7 linked regions of the Oryctolagus cuniculus genome follow. The protein of the gene in region 4 purifies or fractionates together with the protein of the main gene of each other region. This does not show direct contact. Links are inferred from orthologs where the notes say so. Each region holds a gene or a part of one and is shown on either strand. Other genes may lie near its edges. The genes, in order: ELAVL1, NXF1, HNRNPAB, DHX9, HNRNPR, HNRNPA0 and ADAR.

The links.
Region 1: the proteins of DHX9 (region 4) and ELAVL1 purify together in Homo sapiens (affinity purification with mass spectrometry; 3 studies listed by BioGRID and IntAct, with this or other methods). This does not show direct contact. The link is inferred for Oryctolagus cuniculus from reciprocal best matches to the Homo sapiens genes DHX9 and ELAVL1.
Region 2: the proteins of DHX9 (region 4) and NXF1 purify together in Homo sapiens (co-immunoprecipitation; 4 studies listed by BioGRID and IntAct, with this or other methods). This does not show direct contact. The link is inferred for Oryctolagus cuniculus from reciprocal best matches to the Homo sapiens genes DHX9 and NXF1.
Region 3: the proteins of DHX9 (region 4) and HNRNPAB purify together in Homo sapiens (affinity purification with mass spectrometry; 3 studies listed by BioGRID and IntAct, with this or other methods). This does not show direct contact. The link is inferred for Oryctolagus cuniculus from reciprocal best matches to the Homo sapiens genes DHX9 and HNRNPAB.
Region 5: the proteins of DHX9 (region 4) and HNRNPR fractionate together in Homo sapiens (co-fractionation; 3 studies listed by BioGRID and IntAct, with this or other methods). This does not show direct contact. The link is inferred for Oryctolagus cuniculus from reciprocal best matches to the Homo sapiens genes DHX9 and HNRNPR.
Region 6: the proteins of DHX9 (region 4) and HNRNPA0 purify together in Homo sapiens (affinity purification with mass spectrometry; 3 studies listed by BioGRID and IntAct, with this or other methods). This does not show direct contact. The link is inferred for Oryctolagus cuniculus from reciprocal best matches to the Homo sapiens genes DHX9 and HNRNPA0.
Region 7: the proteins of DHX9 (region 4) and ADAR purify together in Homo sapiens (affinity purification with western blotting; 3 studies listed by BioGRID and IntAct, with this or other methods). This does not show direct contact. The link is inferred for Oryctolagus cuniculus from reciprocal best matches to the Homo sapiens genes DHX9 and ADAR.

Annotation. Positions count from the first base shown.
Region 1 is NW_027208201.1:4,154,569-4,157,956, forward strand, and holds part of ELAVL1 (ELAV-like protein 1), read right to left. Parts: intron 2,439-3,388; coding exon 2,213-2,438; intron 1-2,212. UniProt on the Homo sapiens protein: RNA-binding protein that binds to the 3'-UTR region of mRNAs and increases their stability.
Region 2 is NC_091432.1:8,788,272-8,792,223, reverse strand, and holds the start of NXF1 (nuclear RNA export factor 1), read right to left. Parts: upstream 2,801-3,952; 5' UTR 2,624-2,800; coding exon 2,596-2,623; intron 1,176-2,595; coding exon 992-1,175; intron 796-991; coding exon 642-795; intron 1-641.
Region 3 is NC_091437.1:63,781,176-63,785,153, reverse strand, and holds the start of HNRNPAB (heterogeneous nuclear ribonucleoprotein A/B), read right to left. Parts: upstream 2,801-3,978; 5' UTR 2,571-2,800; intron 2,483-2,570; 5' UTR 2,460-2,482; coding exon 2,236-2,459; intron 1,577-2,235; coding exon 1,408-1,576; intron 778-1,407; coding exon 619-777; intron 466-618; coding exon 334-465; intron 1-333. UniProt on the Homo sapiens protein: Binds single-stranded RNA. Has a high affinity for G-rich and U-rich regions of hnRNA. Also binds to APOB mRNA transcripts around the RNA editing site.
Region 4 is NC_091444.1:1,076,311-1,079,810, forward strand, and holds part of DHX9 (ATP-dependent RNA helicase A), read left to right. Parts: intron 1-664; coding exon 665-894; intron 895-1,003; coding exon 1,004-1,119; intron 1,120-1,761; coding exon 1,762-1,962; intron 1,963-3,500. UniProt on the Homo sapiens protein: Multifunctional ATP-dependent nucleic acid helicase that unwinds DNA and RNA in a 3' to 5' direction and that plays important roles in many processes, such as DNA replication, transcriptional activation, post-transcriptional RNA regulation, mRNA translation and RNA-mediated gene silencing.
Region 5 is NC_091438.1:147,606,395-147,609,894, reverse strand, and holds part of HNRNPR (heterogeneous nuclear ribonucleoprotein R), read right to left. Parts: intron 1,840-3,500; coding exon 1,690-1,839; intron 1-1,689. UniProt on the Homo sapiens protein: Component of ribonucleosomes, which are complexes of at least 20 other different heterogeneous nuclear ribonucleoproteins (hnRNP). hnRNP play an important role in processing of precursor mRNA in the nucleus.
Region 6 is NC_091437.1:25,591,714-25,595,216, forward strand, and holds HNRNPA0 (heterogeneous nuclear ribonucleoprotein A0), read right to left. Parts: upstream 2,211-3,503; 5' UTR 1,906-2,210; coding exon 1,015-1,905; 3' UTR 501-1,014; downstream 1-500. UniProt on the Homo sapiens protein: mRNA-binding component of ribonucleosomes. Specifically binds AU-rich element (ARE)-containing mRNAs. Involved in post-transcriptional regulation of cytokines mRNAs.
Region 7 is NC_091438.1:43,899,367-43,902,866, forward strand, and holds part of ADAR (double-stranded RNA-specific adenosine deaminase), read left to right. Parts: intron 1-929; coding exon 930-1,155; intron 1,156-1,430; coding exon 1,431-1,602; intron 1,603-2,066; coding exon 2,067-2,160; intron 2,161-2,735; coding exon 2,736-2,858; intron 2,859-3,150; coding exon 3,151-3,284; intron 3,285-3,500. UniProt on the Homo sapiens protein: Catalyzes the hydrolytic deamination of adenosine to inosine in double-stranded RNA (dsRNA) referred to as A-to-I RNA editing.

The sequences.
Region 1 (3,388 bases), on a different chromosome or scaffold from region 4:
TGAAACCAGGAGCCAGGAGCTTCTTTTGGGTCTCCCACATGGGTGCAGGGGCCCAAGGACTTGGGACATCTTCTACTGCTTTCCCAGGCCACAGCAGAGAGCTGGGTCGGAAGAGGAGCAGCTGGGACTAGAACCAGCGCCCATAAGGGATGCTGGCGCTTCAGGCCAGGGCTTTAACCTGCTGTGCCACAGTGCTGGCTCCCCAAATAAATAAATCTTAAAGACACCCAGACTGCAGCTCAGAGTCCAAGGGTGATTTCTGATGCAGGTATGGAGGTGAAGAGTCACAACACAGTTCTGCAGTGATTTCAAAATCACAAGGATGAGGTTAAGGGCTCCAACAGGACATCCGAGTTGAACGACGACTCAGATGGCCACCTGGGATGACGGTGAGACCCCAGTGCCTGTTCACACGGGGCCGCAGAGGACACCCCGGCATCCTCGGGACACTAAGCCCAGCCAGTTTTTAACGACACCTAGAAAAGGTGCCGAACTCATGGACCCAAGTTTTGAGCATCACCTATTTTATTACACAGCTATCGCAATCAGCCCTCCTCTCATTCTGGCCAGTGGCTCTTCCTGCTGCTCCCAAGAGCTGGTTCAGAGCTGACAGCAGCAATGACCCCTTCTCTGACAGTACATAAGGAGATAGGATCCCTCCCTGCTTTGGGAGCTTTTCTAGGAGGACGGGACCTGATGGCCCATTCCACTCCTCTGGGCCTTTCTTCCTTCCCTCATCTTGTCCAGGGATCCCCTGCCACACCTCTATCACTCTGCTACGCCACCAGCTGGCTTCTCCGGGCCCCTGACCGCGGTCAAAGTCCCTCTGCTCCTCCTGCTTTCCTGGTTACTGAGTAACTCACCACCTGCTGCTGCCCACAACCCATCCCATCAGGAGCAGCACTGCTGACCATCTCAATTCTGTGTAAAGCAGCCAGCAGCAGCCCCAGCCTTTGTCTCCACTAGAAAGCCAGGGCAGGTGGGCTGCAGAGTAATGCCCCCCCCCACCCCGGGAACACGCCTCTCCAGACAGCATCTGTGGAGGCGAGCAGGCTCCACCCAGCCTCACTGCACACAAGAGATGGGAAACCTACAAAGTCATGGAGAAAACCCCAATCACACCCGAGAAAAGCCCTCACACCGCTTCTTCAGGTGCTGACAAAGTCAAAAGCAGACACAAAGGCCCCTCAACCAGGTCTTCCTTGTTCCTGCAGCAGTGACAGTCCTAGTGTCAAGTCCAAGTTACTGACTCGGATCTATTCTACCTGACCCGGGAGGCAGGCCCAACTCAGTGCTTCCTCTGGGCTGGGCCCCTGCACCGCACATTTACTACTCAGACCCAAAACGACCCCACAAGGCAGGCGGGGTATGGAGAAGGCCACCGGCTCACACTGCGGCTCCAGCGTCTGGCCTGCATCCCACATCGGCTGAGTTCATTACCCAGCTCCAGCTTCTTACTAATGGGATGTGGTACTTGGTTCCTGGGCCAGGCAAAGCCAGGGGCTCCATTCAGGTCTCTTACATAGGTGCCAGGACCCAAGTACCACATCCCATATGGGAGTGCCTGGTGCAACTGTGGCTGTTGCAGGCATCTGGGCATTAGCAGGAAGCTGGATGGGAAGCAGAGGCCAGACTCAATCCCAGCTATGAGCTATGGGCAAGCGGAGATAAAAGCAGTGGCTTCACCCAGTGTGGCAAGCCTGCCCCTGGAGTGATCTTTCAAACTCACAGCTCCACTTTGATGTTACTGAGAAAGCCATGTTAGCCCCGTATGCTCTCTGCCAGGAGCCAGTGTTATCTTTTTAAATCCAAGGAAAGAGAACAACCCAGGAGAAGTACAGCTGGCCACCTACTTCCAGGGGTTCTGCATCTGCAGACTCAGCCAACTGCGGGTGGATAATATTCAGAGAAAAACCTGCATCTGTGCTAAACACACAGACACCTCTCTTGTTCTAACTCCCCAAACGATACAACCACTGTTTCCACAGCTCTGTGTTGAATTCGGTCTCTAAGTTATCTGGAGAGGGTCTGGCTGCATGAGGGTTCTGTGCAAACATCACACTGCTTTATGGAAGGCACTGTGCATCTGCAGACTCTGGCTTCCACGGGAAGTCCTGGAGCGTGGAGACCTTTCTAACAGCAGGGGCCTGGCGCCCTCAACGCTTCCCACATCGCATTGCGAGGCCACCAGCGCACTGCCCTAGGGACCCACCTGAATCGCTGTGCCTGGTGGTGTACGGGGCCTCCAAACCGTCTGGCAGGTGAGTGGTACAGCTGTGAGAGCAGCGCCACGTTTTTGTTCTGGTTGGGGTTGGCTGCAAACTTCACTGTGATGGGCTCGGAGGAACCTGGGGGTTTATGACCATTGAAACTGGTAATTGCCTCTTCTGCTTCCGACCGTTTGTCAAACCGGATAAACGCAACCCCTCTGGACAAACCTTTTTAACAAACCAACAAAAATGGAGTTAGGGGAAAAAAGGCAAGGAACTTTAAAACTGAAAAGCAAAAGTCAAGTCAGTCTATTATGGTACGAACTGGATGCCTGGTTAAACAAACAAACAAAAACAAACCTAAACATGAAAGCAAATGAACGGGTTAAATTAAAACAAACAAAACTAAATAAACTAATTAAAGTTTCAGACTTTCTCCTGAGTTGAAGCGGTGACTTCACAGTGCCCGTGCCGAGCGGGAGCTTAGCCTCAGAAACCTCAACGAACCCTAACATGAGGCAATTATAACAGGAAGCTGCAGCTGCTGGGCGGGATGGCAGCTGCAGAGCAGTGTCCCTGTGCCACGTACACTTGTAGAGACAGCTCCGTGCTTTTGATGTTGTCCAGTGCTTTTCACAATTAAGATAAAAAAGGCACAATTTCCAGATGAATGAGCAATAAAGTGCACAATGATGATGAATAAAGAAGCAAAGAAATTAAAAACAAAGTTAAGTTTTGTTGGTCCAAGACGTGAAGACTTCTGAAGATAATGTCCGTGGTCTCCTGACCACTAAAATGCATGTCCCCTGGAGGCAAACTCAACATAAACCCATGGCCACATCCTGCCCCACTTTGGGCCTTTGCAGGTCCCAATAAGTGGCAGCCCATTTCCAGCATAGGGCCTCCTGGGAGGTCCATAACCCTGGGGTGCACCTTCCTAGTCTACAATTCTGCACCCTAGGGTGGGGAAGCTGGGCTTTGCAGAGGGAGTCTCAGGGATATCTTCTTGCTGGGCAGAGGTGTGGGTGGAGAGAACACAGGTGCCATGCACCCCTTGGAGGGTTGAGGCTGACCCTGGGGGGCAACAGCGAAGCATCCCAGGACCTAGGGAGACACCACCCTTGCAGAGGCACAGAAGGCTAAGTCCCAGCAAGGGGATAAGGCGAGCAGACTGCAGA
Region 2 (3,952 bases), on a different chromosome or scaffold from region 4:
CTGTACCCTCAGAACTTCAGGGAGTCCAAACCCCATATTCAGCCTCAGCCAATTGGAGACATCCAGAGGAGCTCCTCTGCCTTCTGACTACAGTTACATCTCCCTTCTGTCCCATTCTACCTACTCCCTGCCTTGCCTTCTCTGAACCTGTTCTAAAGTGTTCTAAGATACTGACCCTTAAGAGAAAGGATGGGGGCTGGCGCTATGGCGCAGCAGGTTAAAGCCCTGGCCTGAAGCGCTGGCATCCCATATGGGTACCAGTCCTAGTCCCTGCTGCTCCTCTTCTGATCCAGCTCTCTGATATGGCCTGGGGAAGCAGAAGATGGTCCAAGTCCTTGGGCCACTGTAGCCGAGTGGGAGACCTGGAGGAAGTTCCTGGCTTCCGATCGGCGCAGCTCCGGCCGTTGTGGCCATCTGGAGAGTGAACCAACGGATGGAAGACCTCTCTCTCTGTCTCTACCTCTCTCTGTAACTCTTTCAAATAAATAAAATAAAATATTTAAAAAGAGAGAGAGAGAAAGGAAGGACACCTGATTGTGCAGTAAAGGGCCAAGAAAACAGATTTTTGTGGAATAACAAACACCTGTACTCTGAGCAAGGTCCCCCTGTCCCTGTACCGCTTTGTTTCCCACAGTACTCACCGTAATCTTGAACCAGTTTTTGGAGGTCCCATCCTGGCTGGTGCCGGCCCCTCCTCGCTCTAAAGGAGCTCTGTCTCTCCGCACAGTAACATGAATACGCTCTCGACCATGCCAAGTGTCGCCCCGGCGGTTGGGTCGGGCAGCATAGGGGGTGCTGTGAGGAGGCAGAGCAAAATGTCCATATGTGCTACCAAAGTTTTCTCAAAGACTGTCCCCGCACTGTACAGGACCATTTAAACTGGTCCTGGCATTTCTTATTCTTCCAGGTGGGAAGAGAAATGACATGGCCACTAAGAGGGCTATATAATCTAGGGGGTCACTAATATAACCCAGACGAACTGGTCACTTACTATCGTACTCGGGGACCATCCTGGGCGTCACTCATTGCTACATCTCCATCATCCTCCTCAAGCCGGGAAGACCGGATACCAGAACCACCTCTTCCAGAGCGACGGTTACTCTCACCATACTTCCACCGGAAAGGACCCCGGCCTTTCTTTCTTCTTTGAGGGAAACTAACACGGTCATCGTACTCTACGGTTAGAAACAGGCACACGAATTATTAACACCACTGCTCCCAGCACCTCCATATGGCAATCACAGTGCCTCACTGTTGGGAGAGAACATAAGAACCACAGGGGCCACCTCCAGAAAACCGTGGATGACATCATCAGGGAAAAGTTATTGGGAGACTGTGCAGGGCTTTTGAAAAACGAAGCAGAAACCAGAACTACAGAGAAGAGAACCAGAATGGAGAAGTGTGGCCAACCCAAAAGTGTAACTGCCCACAAGTCAGACTCCTGAAAACCACCTGAATTCTGCCACTCAGTTATGTACCTATACCGCTTGAATGAAAGTTACAACAGGATCAACTGAAAGGGCTCTCTAAAATAACTCCACGTTCTTAAACTGCCACTCTGAAAGTTCTGAGATGCTCCGTTTCCTTGGCCAGAAAAGCCCTTTAAAAGCTCAGGAGACCGGGCCTGGACTCAGGCACCAGAGAAGCAGCCCCACCCTAGGCTGCTCAATGAAAGGTCCCCAGATGCTCTCTAGATAAACATAACCTACTAACTCCGTAGGAACGGCTCCTTTAAAAATGGTCCATGACTTCCAAAGAAAAACGCATCTACCTAGTGCCCGGTACTCTGTAAATAATGAGCCCCAACAGATAACCCCGGCCAAGCAGAATACATGAACAGAGGGTACGGTGAACACTCACTGAAGGCACTCTCCTGTGCCGGGCACTGTGCTACCAGCACCTGGTATGTAATGATCTCACGGTCTGTCTGTCTCATACACACACAGTCTCTCTTCTCTCTTACACACACACAGAGGAAACAGGTAGTTACTTTCCACACTAAGGGGTTTGGGAAAGAGGCCTGAGAGTTTAACTCCCTCCAGCTTGCTGTAGACAACCCAGGTTTCAAAACTCGGCTGCCGGGCCCTCCAAACCACTATAATGGACTCACAGCCGGTAGGGTGTCGGGACCAAAACATCCAGTTGGTGTGTCGGTCTCAACTATTAAGCCAAAGCCACAGGCCAGAAGGCAAGGCCGACTGGACGCGGTAAGAAAAAAAAAAACAACAACAACAAAACCAGGGCACCAGGGCAGCCCACTGAGTCACATTAAAGGAAGAGTCGGGCCGCCAAACTGAACTGACAGGCACCAGCCACTCTCAAAGTTCAAAGGAAATCCCGTCAACCCACCCGAGCCGCCCGCTCCGAGCCGCAGGTCCTCCCAACGCCAGTGCCCCGGAGTCCTGTCAACTCGCGCGCCCACCTCGAGTCCGGCCGGCCCCCCGGGGACCGCCTTGCCCCCACCCGCCCCGCGCTGCCGCCGCTCCCCTCGGACGCCGGACCCCTCGCGGCCTCTCGCCCCGAGCTGCGGCCTAGGCCGGCGCCGCCCACCCGGGCCCCAGATCGTCCGCTCCACACACGAGATCCAGCACTGACCGTTGTACGACTTCCCCTCATCCGCCATCGCACAGCAAAGAACAGAGGCTGGCTTAGGCGCCGGCCACGACGCCACCAAACGTCCAAACGCCCAAGCGCTCAAGACCCAAGCGCTCTTACGCGGGGCGCCACCGCATTTATCCGGCGAAGCACGTCGCGCGCCAGCGACGTCCGCAGGCTGTGGGCGGTGCCTCAGGGAGGGCGCGCCCCCCTGCGCGTGCGCACACGCAAGGCTGCCGCGCGGGGCGGGCCCCGCCCCCTCCAGGCCCCGCCTCGGAGCTGAGCCCGCGGGTGCCCGGCTCGCTGCCGGCTAGTCCGTCCGTCACCCGCCACCTTTTCATCAGCTCTCCCAGGCAGCTGTGGCAGTTCTTTAGCTTTGCAACAGCGAGCGGGCTGCTGGAGCTCAGAACTTAGGGAAAGGGGCCGCACGGAGAGCCTTCGAGAAATGGAACCCCGCTTCGGCGCTCCCCTCAGCAGGATGCTGGTAGTATTTGTTTTCCTCTTTGCCGGCTTCAGGTCAATGCCTCGCTTTCCTCGTCTATTACATGGATTAATAATAACGAAATAAGGGCCGGCGCTGTGGCGTTGTAGGTTAAGCGCCCGCGGCGCCGGCATTCCCATATGGGCAACGGTTGGAGTCCTGGCTATTCCACTTACAATCCAGCTCCCTGCTGATGGCCTGGGAAAGCAGAGGATGGCCCCAGTGCTTGGGCCCCTACAACTACGTGGGAGACCAGGAAGAAGCTCCTGGCTTCTGATCGGCCCTGCTCTGGACTTTGGGGCCATTTGGGGAGTGAACCAACAGACAGAAGACCTCTTACTCCGCCTCTCAAAAAAAAAAAAAAAAAAAAAAAAAAAGGAAAGACGAAATGGAAAACCACAGTGTAAACTCCGTGGGAGCAGAAACCCCAATCCATGGCTTTCTTCCAGCTCCTGGCTCAGTATCATGACTGGAACATCAAACAAATGCGTTCTGTTCTGTGTCCTTTCTCTTTCGAAGAACGACGAGGAGTCAAGTGAGGCCGCGTGTGTAAAGCTTTGAGCGAGCATTCATCATCAAAGACCTCCCCACCCAGACGTGGAGCTAGAGCCCATCCCGTGTCAGCTGAGCAGCCAGCGTGACCAGCTGTGGTAGGCCACTGGCTGAGGGATGCCAAGGAGAGGGAACTTCAAAATGCCAGGGCCAGGACAAGCGCTGTGGCAAAGTGGCTTAAGCTGCCCCCTGTGACACCAACATCCCATATGGGCACTGGTTTGTGTGCGGGTTGCTCTACTTACAATCCAGTTCCCTACTAACATGCCTGGGAAACAGTGGAAGATGGCCCAGGAACCTGGACCCTGCCACCCATGTGGCAGT
Region 3 (3,978 bases), on a different chromosome or scaffold from region 4:
GCAAGCAAAGATTTGGTCACAAAGAGGAAGAAAAGCTCTGGAGCAGGAAAAACTTGAGAAAAATCAGTCAGTCCCAGAAGATTTCAACTGCAGAGACACCATACACTATCACCTCCGGCTTTAAACCAGACACCCAGAGGCTGCTCAGCGTGCTGTAGAGCCACCCCTTCTCTCCTGCTGCTGTCAACTCTGAATGACCCAACTACCTGCCCCAATCAGGACAGCTCTGTTCACTGTGGTTAAGGCCTGACTAAGCTCTTGGCAGCTCTTGGCAGAAGCCCAACCCCTAACTCACACCTGCAAAGGCCAGCTCACCAAGCTGGGGGCATTTACCTTGCTTCCACTGATGGTATGGAACTTTTTCTCCAGAACCTTCTTCACGGGGTCTTCTTCTTTAAAGGTGATAAAAACAAAACCCCGTCTTTTGTTCGACTTTGGATCCATTGGAAGCTCAATGGCCTCAATCTGTGAAAACAGGCAAGGCTGACCACCATCATCACCTCCCATGCCCCAAGGCATGTGGAGAATTCTTAGGAGAAAAGACCCAGTGACTGCCAGAGGTGAAGAAATCCCTGTGGAGGACTCCAAAACAATGCCATTCTGAAGTCTACAACTCACCTCCCCAAACTCGCCAAAGTACTCCCTGATCTTTTCCTCAGTAGCTTCAGGATTCAGACCCCCCACAAAGATCTTCTTCACTGGGTCCTTCTTCATAGCCATGGCCTTTTTAGGGTCAATGACACGGCCATCCAGCCTGTGCTCCTTCTGATCTAGGACCTGTTCCAACAGAAAAGGGTCAGGTTCTAACTCAGCAGCATGACCCTGGGCAGGGCCCTTTCTGAACCCCAAGGCTCCAGCACATGCCTACAAAGTGACCCCAGGCTGATTGCCCAACATTGTTTTTGCCTCAATTGCATCTGGTTGACCTCAACAGTCCTGACTCCTGTGAACCTCTGCCCATATTGTGTGTGCCCCCCACCTTTGGGGTCCCAGTTTAAAGCCCATCTTCTGCAGAAATAAAATAGCATTAAGGGAACGGAAAGAGTTGCTAGCATCAGAACCAGAGCTCTACCCCTTATTAGCTATGTGATCTCTTCTGCTCAAACTTTTAAGACCTATGTTTTTTCCTTGCAAAACAGAGCTAAGTGCCCACCTCACAGCTATTGTCAGCTGTTTTGTATTCCTCACTACTGCGAGTATAGGTACCCAAAAAATAGCTAGCATTATCTTTTTTCCAAGCCACTCCAGCACACACCCTCCACTATGCCCCCCTTATTCTGTTTCTGTCCCTTCAAAAACATCAAGTTCCTAACTCACCTCTGATTTTTCCACAGCACTCACACAAAGCACCGACCACGTGCCCTTAAGAATTCAAATCACAGACTGCTACCACAGCACTCAGCTTACCTTCTCCACACTGGTTGCGTCTTTGAAGAGGATAAACCCAAATCCTCTTGACCGTCCAGTGTTGGGATCCATTTTTATTGTGCAGTCAACGACCTCTCCAAACTTAGTAAAATAGTCCTTTAAATCTTTTTTGCTGGTATCCCAGCTCAGACCACCAACGAACATTTTCCTGAAATTGTAGAGACACATAGCAGCAAATCTCATAAGAAAGCTGTGATTTTAGGAACGGCCGGTCCTGGCTAAGCGTTCATGCACAGGACTTAGAAAGCCATCGCTCGTGCCCACTCTACACCAGAGCCTCCCTAGTGCGTCTGCCCGCCTTTAAAGGGCGCCGAGGCTCCATGACCAGCCCAACCCAACCCGGCCCCGCACAAAGCCGAACGGGACGCGGCCTCGATCTCGCCGGACGAGCCACCAAGGTGTCCTAGGCGCGCACAGCAAAGGCCCCCGTCCCTCCCCGCCTCCGCCCCGCCACTCGCGGCTTCCTGGGTTCAGCCCGCGGCTCCGCCCCCGGCAGGAGGCGGAGGGAGGCAGGCCCGGCGCGCGCCAACTCCGCCCACGCAGCCGCGCCGCGGCCCTGCGCCCCGCGTCGCCCGGGTCCGAGCGCCCCGCTTCCGGCCGCGCCGCACGCGCCAGCCGCCCAGGGGCGGCGCCAAAGCCGACCGGACAAACTCCGGCCAAGTCCGGGGCGGCGGGCGAGCGCCCGTGGGGCCGGGGCCGGGCCGCGGGGCCGCCCGCCCCTCCCCCCGCCGCGTGGCGCCAACAAAAGGCGGCCCCGGAACAAAGGCGGCGCCCCCCGGCCGCCGCCGCCGCGGCCCGCACACCTACCCCGCGTCCTCCTCATTCTTGCTGGCGTTGATCTGGTCCCCCTCCGCGCCGTTCTGATTCCCACTCGGGGGCGCCGCGGTCCCGCCTCCGGCCCCCGCCGCGGCCCCGCCGCCGCCACTGCCGGCCCCGGTCCCGGCCGGCGACTCGCCTTCGGGGGCGGCCTCGTGTCCGTTCTCGGTGGCGCCCGTGGTCTCCATGGGCTGCTCCTCACCCGCTTCCGACATGTTAGACCGGGTCGCGGCGGCTCCTGCAACGAGCGGCGGCGGCCGCGAGTCAGGCCGGCCGGCCTCCTGCCCGCGCTCCCGCCCGCCGCCCCGCGCGGCCCAGCCGCTCACCTCGCCGCCGATGACGCCGCGAGGCCCACTCGTCCCCCACCCGCCGGGAAAGGCGCCGCGGGCTCGGCCGCGCTCAAGTTCGCGCTGCCGGGGCCTCCCCTCCGTCCGCGACGGAGCAGCAAGAACCGCGTACCCTCGGACGCCGCCGCAAAGAGCCCACCGACCCACACCACGGACCAGGCCCGCGAGGTGCCGCCGCCTGACAATGCCGACTCGTGGCGCTCTTTATAATGCCGGAGCCGGAGCCACCTCGCAACAAAGCGCACGCTCATTGGGTGCACTCGCCCATCACTCAGCCCCTCGGCGCTCGCTCATTGGTCGCTGCCGCGCGCGCGCTCTAGATCCGGGCGGGTCTTTGTCCTCATTTTAGAACCCGCGCGAGCCGGGGCCTTGCGGAGGGTTCTCGGCAGCGGGGCGGCGGGCAGGCCCGAGCCAGACCCTGAGCTCGGCGAGGCCGCATTCCTCTTCCTCGCGCCCCTCTCCCCAGCCCTGGCAGCCATTTGCCTCCCCGTTTCCCAAAAGAGGAAATGGGGCCTGAGGAAGTCTCGCAGCCCAAGGTCGCTCGGGTGTAAGCTGCGGAATCCGGGCTTCCGCGATTGGGCGCCTCGAGTCGTCCAAGCCGCCTCAGCGCGGCTCTGGCGAGATTGGGCCGAGCCCGCCGGCCCCGACCGTGGTGCCCTCAGCGCCGCGCTCCCGCCCTGTGTGCCCCGGGCGAGGACGAAGGGGCCGTGCCTTTCTTCGGTCCCGGTCACCTGCCACCGCCTTGGTTAACGCCGCGTTTACACTTTTGTTTACTAAAAAAAAAAAAAAAAGTGCCCCCTTAGACCCCCTTAGACTCTCTTCGCTGGTACTCGTTTCGACGAAAAATAATCACTCCCATGAGATCGGGCGGGGGCTAGTTCTCTTCGTAATACACAAAGTGATCGCGTTTGCAGCTTCTTGAGCACGGAGCTTGAAAGGCCGGAGTAGTCTCGGGGTTCCTTTTAATCCAGGGGTGGCCCCCAGCCGGCCTCTGGGAACGCGGACCGAGGCTGCATTTCCCGCCGGATTCCGGGGCCGGGCCCGGGGGCTGGGCCTCGTGTCCCCTCCTGGGCTCCAACAACCCTAGGGAGGGTGGTAGGGTCACCGGCACGAGGCCTAGGCCAGTGGCCTGAGATTGCAGTGGGTGGACTCCCGAATCTCCTCCAGCCAATGGGGTTGTCCCGAGGATGAAAACATGTCACAATTCCACATTTTGAAAAGACTATGAATATTGACTTGAGGCTTTTCTGGAAAGATCTGCAGAGTTAGCCACACTGTACAGCCCACCCTGTATTCCACCCCAAGGCCCAGATTAGCCTCTTCACTCCGGAGGTTGGATTCCACGACTGGAATTCACATAGCGCCACAGAGACTTAGGCAGCGCTGC
Region 4 (3,500 bases):
AGATGTTCCGTGCCTTAGAAATAGAGACAGTGGTCCAATTCTTCATCTCTTGATGGGAGCTGGAACCATATACTTTAATTGGCAAAATCTTTACAGTGGTCCTGGGTACAGATATTGTCCCAATTTAAAAGATCATAAAACCAACATAGAAGTTCACAGTTTTAAGCTTTATTCAGTGAGGACATTGTAAGATTTCGTCTCAGGCTGAGCTAGAGCAGAATCTGCGCAGGCCTTGGCGCTCGTGTTTCCAGATGCGGTGCTCATGAACTGTAGTTGGACTTGGACGCGCCTGCCTCCATTCCGGTGGGTGTCCTTTGCTGCGTCTCTCCATCTGCACACGCAGCAGTTTAAGAACAACAAATACATTGACCATTGACCTTGGTCCTGCTGGTCACTCAGAGTAGGTGGCTGGCGAGGGATTGTGTTACAAGTTACCACCCCAAGCCTAGGTTTATGGTTGAATCAGTAAGGGAATACAGACATTTAGTTTTCTGATTATGGAGACTCGGCAAAATTTCCTCTTGAGCTTAATCTGGGTACAAGGCTTCTGAGAAGAAAAAGGCTTCTAGACAGATCAGTTCTTTTATTCTTGTGTAGTTTGCCTGTGATGTGATGATTGGCCATTACCTGATTTTTTTTTTTTTTTAAACCTCATTCCTAACAGATTGTTTGTTGACACAAGTGTTTACTAACACTGGACCAGATAATAACTTGGATGTTGTTATCTCTCTCCTGGCCTTTGGTGTGTATCCCAATGTGTGCTATCACAAGGAAAAGAGAAAGATTCTTACCACCGAAGGGCGCAATGCACTTATCCACAAATCGTCTGTTAATTGTCCTTTTAGCAGCCAAGACATGAAATACCCTTCCCCCTTCTTTGTATTTGGTGAAAAGGTAAGAAAAGTTCACATCAGAACGTAAGTTTTGGGTTTCTTTAGGCCTAGTTTATATTATTAGACAGTTAATGTAACCTGTTTACTCTTGCCATTCTCTCCATCTGCAGATTCGAACCCGCGCCATCTCTGCTAAAGGCATGACTTTAGTCACTCCCCTGCAGTTGCTTCTTTTTGCCTCCAAGAAAGTCCAATCTGATGGTCAGATTGTGCTGGTAGATGACTGGTATGAACTTTTGCATGTGAACTCTTAGATTAGCATCTTTTTTTTTTTTTTTTTAAGATATATTTATTTAAAAGGCAGAGTTATGCAGAGGCAGAGAGAGAGGTCTTCCATCTGCTGGTTCACTCCCTAAATGCAAGAAACAACAGAGCTGGGCCAGTCTACAGCTAGGAGCCAGGAGCTTCTTCCAGGTCAGGATCCTACGTGGGTGCAGGGGACCAAGCACTTGGGCCATCTTATACTGCTTTCCCAGGCCGTAGCAGAGAACTGGATTGGAAATGGACCAACTGGGGCCCATATGGGATGCTGACACTGCAGGTGGTGGCTTTACCTGCTACACCACGGCACTGGCCCCCAGCCTCATTCTTAAAAACCTAAAAAGCTCCAGTGTGGAGTCTTTCATTCTTAGTGGAAACTGCGTGGTCTGCATTGCAGGCAGTTTTTGGCTTGATGGTTTTATGGTTTACAATTCCTGCAGATAGGTAGCAGTGAATTTTAAAAGGTTAGTGCGGGTAGTTGTTCTTTGTACCCCTGTCTGCCTGAGTCTGGGCTGCTGTAGTAGCTTAACAATATGGTGCTTGCCATATTGGCAGTTTTCTGTTACCTACTTCCTTTCTTATTTTGTATTGCTTTTCTCCATTTTAGGATCAGACTGCAAATAAGCCATGAAGCTGCTGCCTGCATCACTGCTCTGCGGGCTGCAGTGGAGGCTCTTGTTGTTGAAGTGACCAAGCAGCCCAGTATCATCAGCCAGCTGGACCCTGCCAATGAGCACATGCTGAACACCATCCGCCAGATCTCCAGGCCCTCAGCTGCTGGCATCAACCTGATGGTTGGCAGTACACGGTAAGTACCAGGGTCACAACTGGTGGTGCCGAGCCAGAGGCTTTGTCATCTCACAGAGGCCTAGAGTTAGTTGATAGTGGAGTTATTTAACTTGAATTTCTAGAGAAACACTAAATGTGGGATTTAATTCTGGGCAACACATTCAGAATGAAAGGTTGTTACTTTGCTTCTGTGTTGTAGTGCGTCCACTTTGTCGGTGTAGGTAGAGTCAGATGGGGCCCTTGAAAGTGCAGAGGCTATCCAGGGAGCCACATGATGGAATGTAACAACAGCCCGATGGTCCTTTCTTCCTCCTCACTGTTCTGACCTCCCTACAGAGGAACTTGGTGAACCCTTCAGTCTCCCACAGATGAGAAGTATCAGTGTTTACCTTAGGAAAATAGTATAGTATAGTCTTAAATGTGACGTTTCTCTTCAGTTTTAAAATGCTTTTTTCATTTTTCAATAGCTTTTTGTCTGGGATTATTTGATACCTACAAGAAAGGCAGAATAGTACAACATACACCCATACAGTCTTCATTTAAGTTCACTTACTTACCTTCAGTGTTTTGTGCCATTTGTATAATCATTTGTGATAAATTTGCAACTTCAGGAAATTTTGTGTCAGAATTTCTTTTGTCTAACAACATGGCCACAACATCATGGACCCATCTCAATTGAGAAGTATTATATTAATAATTTAAGTTACAAATGTTTGTTAAATACCATTATCCAAAACGTCTCTCTACTCTTCTTATCATAGATAACTTACTACATTTGGTTATAAATGCTTTTTTTTTTTTTTTTTTTTTTTTTTTAATTTATTTGACAGGGAGAGACAGAGATCTTCCATTTGCTAGTTCATTCCCCAAATGGCCACAACAGCTGGAGCTAGACCAATCTGAAGTCAGGAGCCAGGAGCTACTTTCAGGTCTCCCACATGGCCTCAGGTCCCAAGCACTTGGGCCATCTTCTACTGCTCTCCCAGGCCATAGCAGAGAGCTGGATCAAAAGTGGAGCGGCCAGGACTCAAATCAGTGCCCATATTGGATGGCAGTGCCACAGACAGAGACTTAACCTACTACGCCACAGTGCCAGCCCTGTAAATGCCTTTTTATTTTTTTTAGAAAGCTTTTGTTTAATAATTATAAATTTCATAGATAACAGCTTTTGGAATATAGCAGCTCCCCCCCCATACCCGCTCTCCCACCCCCACTCCCATCCCACCTCTTACTCCCGTTCCCATCCCATTCTTCATTAAGATTTTTAATTATCTTTATATACAGAAGATCAGCTCTATACTAAGATTTCAACACTTTGCACCCACAAAGTACTGTTTGAAGACAAGTTTTGCCATTAATTCTCATTGTACAATTCATCAAGGAGAGAGATCCTACATGGGGAGCAACTGCACAGTGATCCCTGTTGTTGATTTAACAGTTGACACTCTTATTTATGACGTCAGTGATCACCTGAGGCCCTGGTCGTGAGCTGCCAAAGGCTATGGAAGCCATTTGAGTCCACAAACTGTCATCATTTAGACGGCCATAATCAAAGTG
Region 5 (3,500 bases), on a different chromosome or scaffold from region 4:
TCTCTCTCTCCCCCTCTCTCTGTTTGTAACTCTGCCTCTCAAATAAATAAATACATCTTTTTAAAAAAAATAAATAATAAAGTACTATACAAGCTTATTAGTTCTATACTACTAGACATCTCAGAAGCCAAACAATTCTGTACTAAACTATGAATTTTATTAGCAATATTATCTAATTCATTCCCATCAATAATTAAACAAATTAATTCTACCCTAGTCAAGGCTTCTATAAGGTCTGTTTTATTTTCTGGGCAAGAAACAAACAAAATGCTCATATTAGAAGTGGCAGGATCCCACTGACAGAAACTGTAGAAAAACAATCAAGCATGGGGCCGGTGCCATGGCGCAGTAGGTTAATCCTCTGCCTGCGACGCCCGCATCCCATATGGGCACCGGTTCTAGTCCTGGCTGCTCCTCTTCCAATCCAGCTCTCTGCTATGGCCTGGGATAGTAGTAGTAGATGACCCAAGTCCTTGGGCCCCTGCAACCACATGGGAGACCAGGAAGAAGCTCCTGGCTTTGGACTGGCGCAGCTCCGGCCATTGCGGCCATTTGGGGAATGAAGCAATGGAAGGAAGACCTTTACTGTCTGTAACTCTACCTCTCAAATAAATAATATTTAAAAAAAAAAAAAAAAACCCACAATCAAGCCTGAATCACTGAGCAATTTGGACCCATCTTCCTAATTACCTAAAAAAGATTATTAGTGTTTTGTCTTCTTTCTCTTCCCAAGGAAGGCATGAACAGGAGGAAGAAGAATCAAAATTCTACCTGCTAAGCATGGTACTGACTCACCATCAATGAAAAGCAGCAAAAAACTTCAGGTTTTATGTGCTAGAAACCATACAAAAACATTTTTCCCACACTTTCATTACTATCATCAACGAATAAATCAACTACTATATACAAGTATCCCTTAACAATTACTGACATCAGTGAAACATAGCTAATACTAGTCTCACTCTAAAATGTTTAAAGGCAGGGCAGGCACTATAGCAAAGGGGGTTAAGCTGCTGCTTAGGAAACCCTCATCTCATATTTCCAGGCCTGGATGCTCTCTTCTGATCCAGCTTCCTGCTGATACACATGGAGACCGAGATGGAGTTCTAGGCTCTTGGCTTCAGCCTGGCCTAGCCTTTTCTGTTGCAGGCATTTGGAAGTCAACCAGTGGATCAAAGACCTGCCTTTTAAGTAGATGAATAAGTATTAAGAGAGAGAGAAGAAAGAAAAAGACTGAAGGCAAAAACATAAAGAACCAGCCACACCCTCAAAATACATCTACAAAATTAAAAGATACTATATCATGGTAAAGTCATTATACTACTGGGTTTCTTTCACATGTCTACAGAGCTGAGGTTCAGAAAGAAGCTATAATATAGTTACTGCCTGTTTAGTATTTACAGCAGCTAATGATTGTATCTCATAATACTTCTATGGCATCATGCTATCAAATGTTAGGCTTACAATAACAGAGATTAAAAATAACTTACCTGAGATCACAGTCACAGTAATAATCTGGCATTGAAATACAGTCTTGTTATACTACTTTATAGAGATTATTAAAAAGAAAGTTCCAAAGTTCAGCAAAAGCCAAAAACCAATTTTATTTGTTTTTAAAGTTACTTTATGTGTTTACACATTTCAACAACAGAATTCAGGTACCAAGAAGTAAAATTTCTAAATTTCTACCTTAACAGCTGCTCCTCTGTCTTCAAAATGAACAAATGCATAATCTTTCAACTTCTTTACTCTTTCAAGTTTTCCAAATTCAGAAAATGACTTTTCCAAGATTTCTTCTGTCACCGTAGTAGCCAAATTTCTCACAAACAAAACTTTCACCTAATAGCAACAAATATACAAGATTGGCACTGGATACTGAATTTTAGCTAGTGTTCAAGTATTTCTTCCTGTCTTCAGGCACAGGCTTTTCTTCTCCAAAACATTAGCATTAAAAGTAACATTACAGGAAGTATAAGAAACTGTCAAGAAAACACTGACATTAGTCACCAATTTACATAAATTGTTGGTTCCTGTCTTCTACCCTACCATTAAAGCATTTAACACTAGGAACAGATCCTTCAAGAAACCAACACTGATTATTGCTAAGTTAATTCGCAAATTTAACAGGATATCTAAGTTCCCTCTTCAATGAGTTTTCCTATTTTCTCTCCCTAGAACCAGATAACTCTTTAAAATTCTTATGAAATAAACAATAGAACAACACATGAGAAATCTAGAGCCTAGCCCTATGAAATACAAACTATATATTTACATAATTGAATTAGTACTGTGCTTATCTGGAAAAAAGTTAAAAGTTGGTCCATACCTCACTATATACCAAGATAAGCTCCAAATAGACTAAAAATGTAAATGGTAAGGGAAGGTGGGGACTATGAAAATACTGGCAGAAAACAAGAGTAAATCTAAAAGAGTAATACTACTAAAAGTAAATGCCTTCTATATGGCAAAAAATACCATAAGTAATGTCAAAAGGAAAATGACATATCACAGAGATAATCTTTTCTATTAAAGCATCAGAAAATAAGAAAAATCCCAACAAATGAAAAATAAGCAAATTCATGAATCCATGGTTTAATACAAAGAAACACATGGTCCTCCAAATACATTAAAAGCTCAAGCTCATACATAGTAAGAAATACAAGTCGTAACAGCATTGAGATACCATATTATCAGACCAGCAAAATCCAGAAGTGTGATCTCACACTATTTTGTCAAGGATGAGGAAAACAGTCCTCTTATATTGTGCTGGTGATAGAATATACCAGTACATCCCCTACAGAGAAGAATATGGTAATATCTTAATAATTACAGATCCATTTAGCTTCAGCCTACAATCCATCTTACAGATACATTTGTACTTCTATCATCTGATGTGGTACAAGTTCATTCATTACAGTATTGTTAACAAAAAAAAATGGGGGGACAGAAACATCCAGCAAGTATGCATGTGCTACGGCACACCCACAGAATGGAATATTATGCAGCCACAGTAACTAGGATGAGCTCTATGGGCTGATATAGAGATTGCTAGGATACACTATCGGTAAGACACATTTCCCCCCATTTTTGTATCTCTGAAATGGGAGTAAAAATTTACAGTCAATATGGTAAGCAAGCTTTGTGCCACACTATTGGCAACACTTTATACTTTTTAAAAATATTTATTTATTTATGCATTTATTTGAAAGAGTTACAGAGAGAGGAAGACACATACACACAGAGAAAAAGAGAAAGAGAGACAGAATGAATCTTCCCTCTGCTGGTTCACTTCCCAGATGGCTACAATGGCTGGAGCTGGACCAGGCTGAAGGCAGGAGCTTCTACAGGGTTCCCACTTGGCGGAGAAACAGAATAACAAAGCAAATAGAGATGTGTGAATATGGGCTGGCACGTGGCACAGTAGGTTAAGCCACCACTTGCAGTGTCAACATCCCACTCCCAATCCAGCTCCTTGCTAATGTGACTGGGAAAGCAGCTGA
Region 6 (3,503 bases), on a different chromosome or scaffold from region 4:
AAGGATTAAACCTGCTCAGAAAATACAAAAACGCATTTAGTGTGAGGGTAAAACATAACCCTTATTTGTAACCATTCATTAAACACAAATCAGTAAGAGGGATGAAACTCAGCCATCTGAAAAATTTTAAACAGTTTGTATGAATGAGAACACATGCGTAACACAAACTACTTCTTTAGAACTACACAGTACATACTTTGAAGTAAAGTCTCATAGAAAGAAGTGACCAACTATGTCAAGATGCTAAGTAAATCACTCAGTACAAGCGATGGATGCACATAAATTAAGATTTTAAAGAGTCACATCCACCACTTCAAGTTTTGCCTGAAAGGGATAAACTTCAACATGTCACTAGCAGAGCAACGGGGGAGGATAAAAACACAGAACCTCTGAAAAGCTTTTCTAAGTACACATCCAGAATTACACACACACAAAATCTTAAAACCAATATCCCTTAAATAGGTACGGAATGGATCCTAGAAAAAAAAATGTTAGACATGTACGGTCAAACACAATGATTTATTAAAAATAAAACGTAAAAATGATTTTTGTACATATGCTTCCAAATTTCAGGCATGGGATCCAAGTAGATCATAGAAAACGCTGTAGCCAGGTATCAAGTCCTTACAACAAAGTAAACTACTCCCCCTCCCAAACACCCGCCCGGGTTTTGCTACAGAATGAGCAAATTCACTCCCTCCCCCCCAAAAAACACAAATTAAAACAAGACATCTTGCTAGTATAAAAACGACCAAGTTCCAAGTAATAATAAAAAAATAGAGTCCATCAATGACTGTAACACAAAAATGTAGGGGGGGGGGTCTAGTCCATCTTCAGAGGGAGGGTCGAGAGGTGCCAGGTAAACAGGGGGACACTCCCAAGGGTAAGCAGCCTCAGCGGCTCCCCCAAGGGCAAAATGGGGAAGGCGGTGGAGGAGTACGGGCCTCAGGAGTGGACCCCACTCGGCATGTTTCAGGGCCGCCCCTGCAGCCGCTCCCAGGCATTTCCAGCTTCTCAGAAGGAGCCGCCTCCGTAGCCGCCCCCACCGCCGTAGCCGCCTCTGTAAGGTCCGCTGTTACTGCGACCGCCCCAGCCGCCGCCGCCGCTCTTCATGGGCCCGTACGAAGACTGGTGCTGGCTGTAGCTGCCGAAGCCGCCGAAGCCGTTACCGTAGTCGCTGCCCCCGTACGACGAGCCGCCCCCGCCGCCGCCGTAGCCCCCGTAGCCGCCCCCGCCGTAGCCCCCGTAGCTGTTGTAGCCGCCGCCGCCGCCCTTGGCCAGGCCGTTCTGGTCTCGCCCCCCGCCGCGCCCCCGGCCGCCCCGGCCGCCCCGGGACGACCGGGAGCCGCCGCCGCCCCCGCCGGAGTGGATGTCCTCCTTGGGGACGGCCTTCTTCACCTCCACGCGATGGCCCTGGATGGGATGGAACTTGACCACCGCGGCCTTATCCGCCGCGTCGTGGTTCTGAAAATACACGAAGCCGAAGCCGCGCTTCTTGCCCGACTGCTTGTCGGCGATGATCTCGGCCTTTTCCACGGCGCCGAACTGCGAGAAGTGCTCGATCAGGTCGCCCTCGGCCACGTCTCCCTTCAGGCCCCCGACAAAGAGCTTCTTCACCTTGGCGTGGGCACCGGGCCGCGCCGAATCCTCGCGGGACACGGCCCGCTTCAGCTCCACCGTGTTGCCGTCCACGGCATGCGGCGACGCGGCCATGGCGGCATCCGCCTCCTCCACATTCGAGTAGGTCACGAAGCCAAAGCACCGGGAGCGCTTCGTCTGGGGGTTCACCACCACCACGCAGTCCGTCAAGGTCCCAAAGGCCTCGAAGTGGCCGCGCAGGCCCGACTCACTCGTCTGCACGTTGAGGCCACCGATGAAGAGCTTACACAGCTGGGAATTCTCCATCTCCACGGCCCGGGCCTTGCCCCCGCCCCGCGAGCCCCGAGGTTTCGCCGTCGCCGTTATCTGTCGCCGAGGCTTCTTCACAACTGGGGCCCAGCCGTCGCTGGAGCCGCCCCCGCCGGACACCGGCGGGGAAGGGGAGGGGAGGGGAGGGAAGGAGAAGAGGAGGGGGAGGGAGGGGAGCGGTGCGGGCGAGGAGGGCGCGCCGGGGAGACGGGCGAGCACCCAAGGCCGCCCCTGCCGCCACCGCCGCCACCTCCGCTCCCCTATCTGGGCACCACACAAAGAGGCCGCTGAACGCGCGCGTACCCTCCCCGCGGCGTGCGTCACCACCGACGCACGGTAGCCTAGGGCCGCCCGCCAATCCCCGCCTCGCTCCTCTTGGTCCCGCCTACCGCGCCGCAGCGCCGGGCTCAACCACAGACTCCGCGCCCGCCGCGGTCTATTCAAGCCCTCGGCCCCGGCGGGCGCGCCCACGCCTGCTGCTGTCCATCTGTCACTGCCGGGCGCCTCGGCGCGCCCTGGCAACGGACCTGCCCTGCCCTCCGCGACCCTCCGCAGTTCATTTCCGAGCAGCCCCCGGCTGTTCCCAGTGACTCTCCCCCTCCCCTTCCCCTATCCCCTCGCCCCGCTCCGCAGTGGCGTTCGCGCCAGCCCCTTGAGAGGCGTGTGAGTGCAGCCAATCGCCGCAACCCCACGCACCCACTTCCGTTCTCGGCAGCTGCTGGACGGGCGCGCCCCCAGTGCGCGCTTGCCCGGGCGCCCCCGGAGTGCGGGGCGGCCGCCACCTGCACGCCTCCTCCCGCTCCGGGCTGGGCGGGGCATGGGCTGGGGGCCTCGCTGGGGGCCGTTCCCAACGGCTACTGCCTGGGGCGCCACGCGCGGGCGCTTTGAAAACTTAACTGCTGGGGTTCGGGGCCGGGGTTTACCCGCCGCGTCTCGGCCGGGCGGCTACACCTGGCGGCCACGCCCCTCCTCTCGCCCCCGTAAAGATGGAGGGCGGAGGACCGGTCCAGGGAGGCGGTTGGTAACGGTTACCAGTGGGCCGGGCGCGTGGCTGAACCAAAACTTGAACACGTGGCGTAGTAATGCGCAAAAGCGAGTCCGAGGCGGTGTGAAAGATAACAGGGTGCGAAAACCTCACGCCGAGGCGGGGCTCCGCCACATCTAACGTCCCACCCGCTCCGCACACTCCTGCAGACATTTTCACTTACCTCAGGATACACTCATAACTTAAGTCATCTGTGCGCTGCCCCCTTCCAACTCACGTTTTGGCTTTTTCCAGACGTTTTATATCAAACCAAGAATAGCTGAGCATTGTATTCGCAAAGAGCCCGTCTGCACACCTGATGCCTGCCTTTAAGTGCCCTCCGCAGGCCAAAACTTTGAACTGTTTGAACCTTTGTGGCCAAACAAGATGCCTAGACTGGGACGTGGCACTAGGACACCAAGAGCCTCCCAAACCAGGTGGTTATTACTGAAGAAGCTCAGAGTGATTCCTCGCTGTTTCCTCGAGTATTGGGGAAGGATTTGGGAAAGAGGTTAAAGTTGTACTGGATCTGGGAGACGAAGACTAGATAAGATTTCTGCAGGAAACTTGC
Region 7 (3,500 bases), on a different chromosome or scaffold from region 4:
CTGCCTGAGTCCTTGGGCCCCTGCCACCCACGTGGGAGACCTGAAAGAAGCTTCTGGCTCCTATATTTGGCCCAGCCCTGGACATTGTGACCATTAGGGGAGTGAGCCAGCGGATGGAAGCTGTCTCTGTCTGTTTCTCCCTCTCTCTCCTTCTCTCTAACTATGCCTTTCAAATAAATAAAAATAGATCTTTAAAATGAAGGAGACAGTGGGCCGGCGCCGTGGCTCAATAGGCTAATCCTCCACCTTGCGGCGCCGGCACACCGGGTTCTAGTCCCGGTTGGGGCGCCGGATTCTGTCCCGGTTGCCCCTCTTCCAGGCCAGCTCTCTGCTATGGCCAGGGAGTGCAGTGGAGGATGGCCCAGGTGCTTGGGCCCTGCACCCCATGGGAGACCAGGAAAAGCACCTGGCTCCTGGCTCCTGCCAGGATCAGCGCGGTGCGCCGGCTGCAGCGGCGGCCATTGGAGGGTGAACCAACGGCAAAGGAAGACCTTTCTCTCTCTGTCTCTCTCTCTCACTGTCCACTCTGCCTGTCAAAAAAAAAAAAAAAAAAAAAAAAAAATGAAGGAGACAGGCCCAGGCCTTTGTAGGTGATAGCACAGTGCCTGCTCAGAAGTTAGTGAGTTGAGTTTATCACATGCAGTTGTGTAACCACCTTCAACTTAGGGCAAGTAACACTGCTTTTTTCATTTACAGTGATGATGAAGTACGTTTGCATTTTTAGAAAGTCAGTTTGGGGAACGACCTGGATCTAACAACAATCATGTCATGATCCATGAATGACCATAATCTGGGAAATTCTGCCTTAGAAACCGCTGTTAAGGGGCCCTTGTGTCTGCAGGTCTGGCCACATCGTAAGCAGAATGAAACCTCCCTGGAAGAGCTGTCAATATCTAATGTTTGTCTTTATCCCCACTTCTCATGCAAAGGTTTGTTTACCAAGCAAAAGTTGGAGGTCGCTGGTTCCCAGCCGTCTGCGCACACAGCAAGAAGCAAGGCAAACAGGAAGCAGCAGATGCGGCTCTCCGTGTCTTGATTGGGGAGAACGAGAAGGCAGAACGCATGGGTTTCACAGAGGTAACCCCAGTGACAGGGGCCAGTCTCAGAAGAACTATGCTCCTCCTCTCCAGGTCCCCAGAGGCACAGCCAAAGACAGTTAAGACGTCTACTTTTGGTGCTCTCTTTCTTGTGGGGGGAGGGGGTTCTGCTGACTCCTCCCTGGGTGGAGCTGGCACTTAACTTGCTGCATCGTGTGAGTTATTCCTAGGCTTTAATGTGAGCCCTAATTGAACATATAAGTGGGACTCTTGGTGTGAGGGGAAAGGTGACTCCCGAGGCGAGCAGAACACGATCGATGTCCCTGGCCGCCATGAAGCATGGTGGACGCAGACATGGCTGCCAGGTCCTGACACAGCCTCCTGTCCCCACAGCTTCCTCTCACCGGCAGCACGTTCCACGACCAGATCGCCATGCTGAGTCACCGGTGCTTCAACGCTCTCACCAACAGTTTCCAGCCCTCCCTGCTGGGCCGCAAGATCCTGGCTGCCATCATTATGAAGAAGGACTCCGATGACATGGGCGTCGTCGTCAGCTTGGGGACTGGTAAGTGAGGGCTTCCCTGAGTGCCCGGAAGTGGGTCCTCCTGGTCTCCTGCAGTCCACATGGGTGTGTCCAAGGCAGGGAGAAAAGACTGCTAACGGAGGTCAGGCATCTCCAGTCTAGAAGCCCCAAATCCAGAGTGCTCAACTCTGAACCTCTGAGCACCAACCTAATGTGTACTGGAGTTCAGATTTTCAGGTTAGGGATTCTACTGCAAAAATCAAAACTATCCAACCTCTGGGATCTGACACCTCCGGGCCCAAGCATTTCCAATTAGAGGTGCTCAACTCGCATTCATTCTCACCACAGCCAGCGCAGAGTGGGTGCTGAGTTCCTAGGGGGCACCAGGTGGGCGGCAAGGGTCTGGTGGCCCGAGGCTGCTTCTGCTTTCAGCTGTGAGGACACATCCCTGTCCCCCGTGGTTTTTGCCTTTGATGATTCCATTGCTGGTTCCAACATGCCCCCAGGGAATCGCTGTGTGAAAGGAGACTCTCTCAGCCTGAAGGGAGAGACGGTCAATGACTGCCACGCCGAAATCATCTCCCGGAGAGGCTTCATCAGGTGAGCGGGCGCCCGTGCTGACAGGTGGCTGGGGCGGGCCTGCCGCCCAGCTGTCCCAGGGCTCACGGCACCCGTCGCCTGCGTCCTGCTGCCCAGCCTGTTGTCAGGGCTCTCCTTGCTGCTGCTGCTGCTTCGTGCCTGTTGTGAAAAACGCAAAGTGACTCTCAGTCCTCCGGGCCTTGAGGCTGCGGCCGCCTTCCTTCTGCGTTTGAAGACCTGCGTGCCCCGGCAGCCTTCTCCGCTTCACCTGCTCTTTCATTCACGAAGGGACAGGCTCGGGGGGAAGCAGCAGCCTCCTGTTCCCCTGGAGTCCATTTGTCCCGCCCCAGAATCCCTGTGGCCACCATAGAGAGGAGCCCTCAGCAGAACTGAGACTGAGCCAGAAGGCTGGCTCTGCCGTAGGCGCACTGGGGCCTCGCAGGCAGGGTTCCCAGCGCCTCTTGCCACCGGAAGCTGGTGCCGGGCTGTGTTCTTAGGGTTTCTGCTTACCTGGGGGTCATGTAGGGCCAGCTCTTAGAAGCAACTGCTCTTGCCAGAATCAAACCTATCTTTCTAACCAGGCTTTGTTTCCGTAGGTTTCTCTACAGCGAGTTAATGAAGTACAACCCCCAGACTGCGAAGGAAAGTATATTTGAGCCTGCTAGGGGAGGAGAAAAGCTCCAGATAAAAAAGACTGTTTCATTTCATCTCTATATCAGGTCTGTATGGTCTCTGTTGCTGTCAGAGCGCGCCCTGCCAAGCTCCCAGGACTGAGTATCCTAACACGTCCCTGGCTCCCCGGTCAGGCCTCACACGATAGAGCACCCCGCATGGCGTGTGCACTGTGTGCCCTGGGTGCAGCCATTCTCACAGACGCCGCTGCCACCTCCAGGCTCACGGGGTGGGCTTCAGGAAATGTCCCTTGTTTCTGCCAGCTGGTCTGGGAGCCCCCGGAAATGGAGGGCGGTTGTTTCCGGGTGAGCTGTAACAGAGGCCCCGCTTCTCCTGCAGCACTGCTCCCTGTGGAGATGGCGCGCTCTTTGACAAGTCCTGCAGTGACCGTAATGTGGAGAGTACAGATTCTCGCCACTACCCGGTCTTCGAGAATCCCAAGCAAGGCAAGCTACGCACCAAGGTAGAGAATGGTGAGTGCCACGTGACCCTCACGCGTCCCACGGGAGGCTCTGTGAGACTGCCAGGTCTTCGCTGTTCGTCACTGGGCCCCAAGGCGGGGTGGACGGGGAAGGGAAGATCAAGGCTCCACTCTGAATTTGTTCTTTCAGAGGATCTCCCAAGCATACAGGAGGTGGAGGTACCAACCTGGAGCTCAGCCTGGCAATAAACTCACGGGAGTGCTCCTC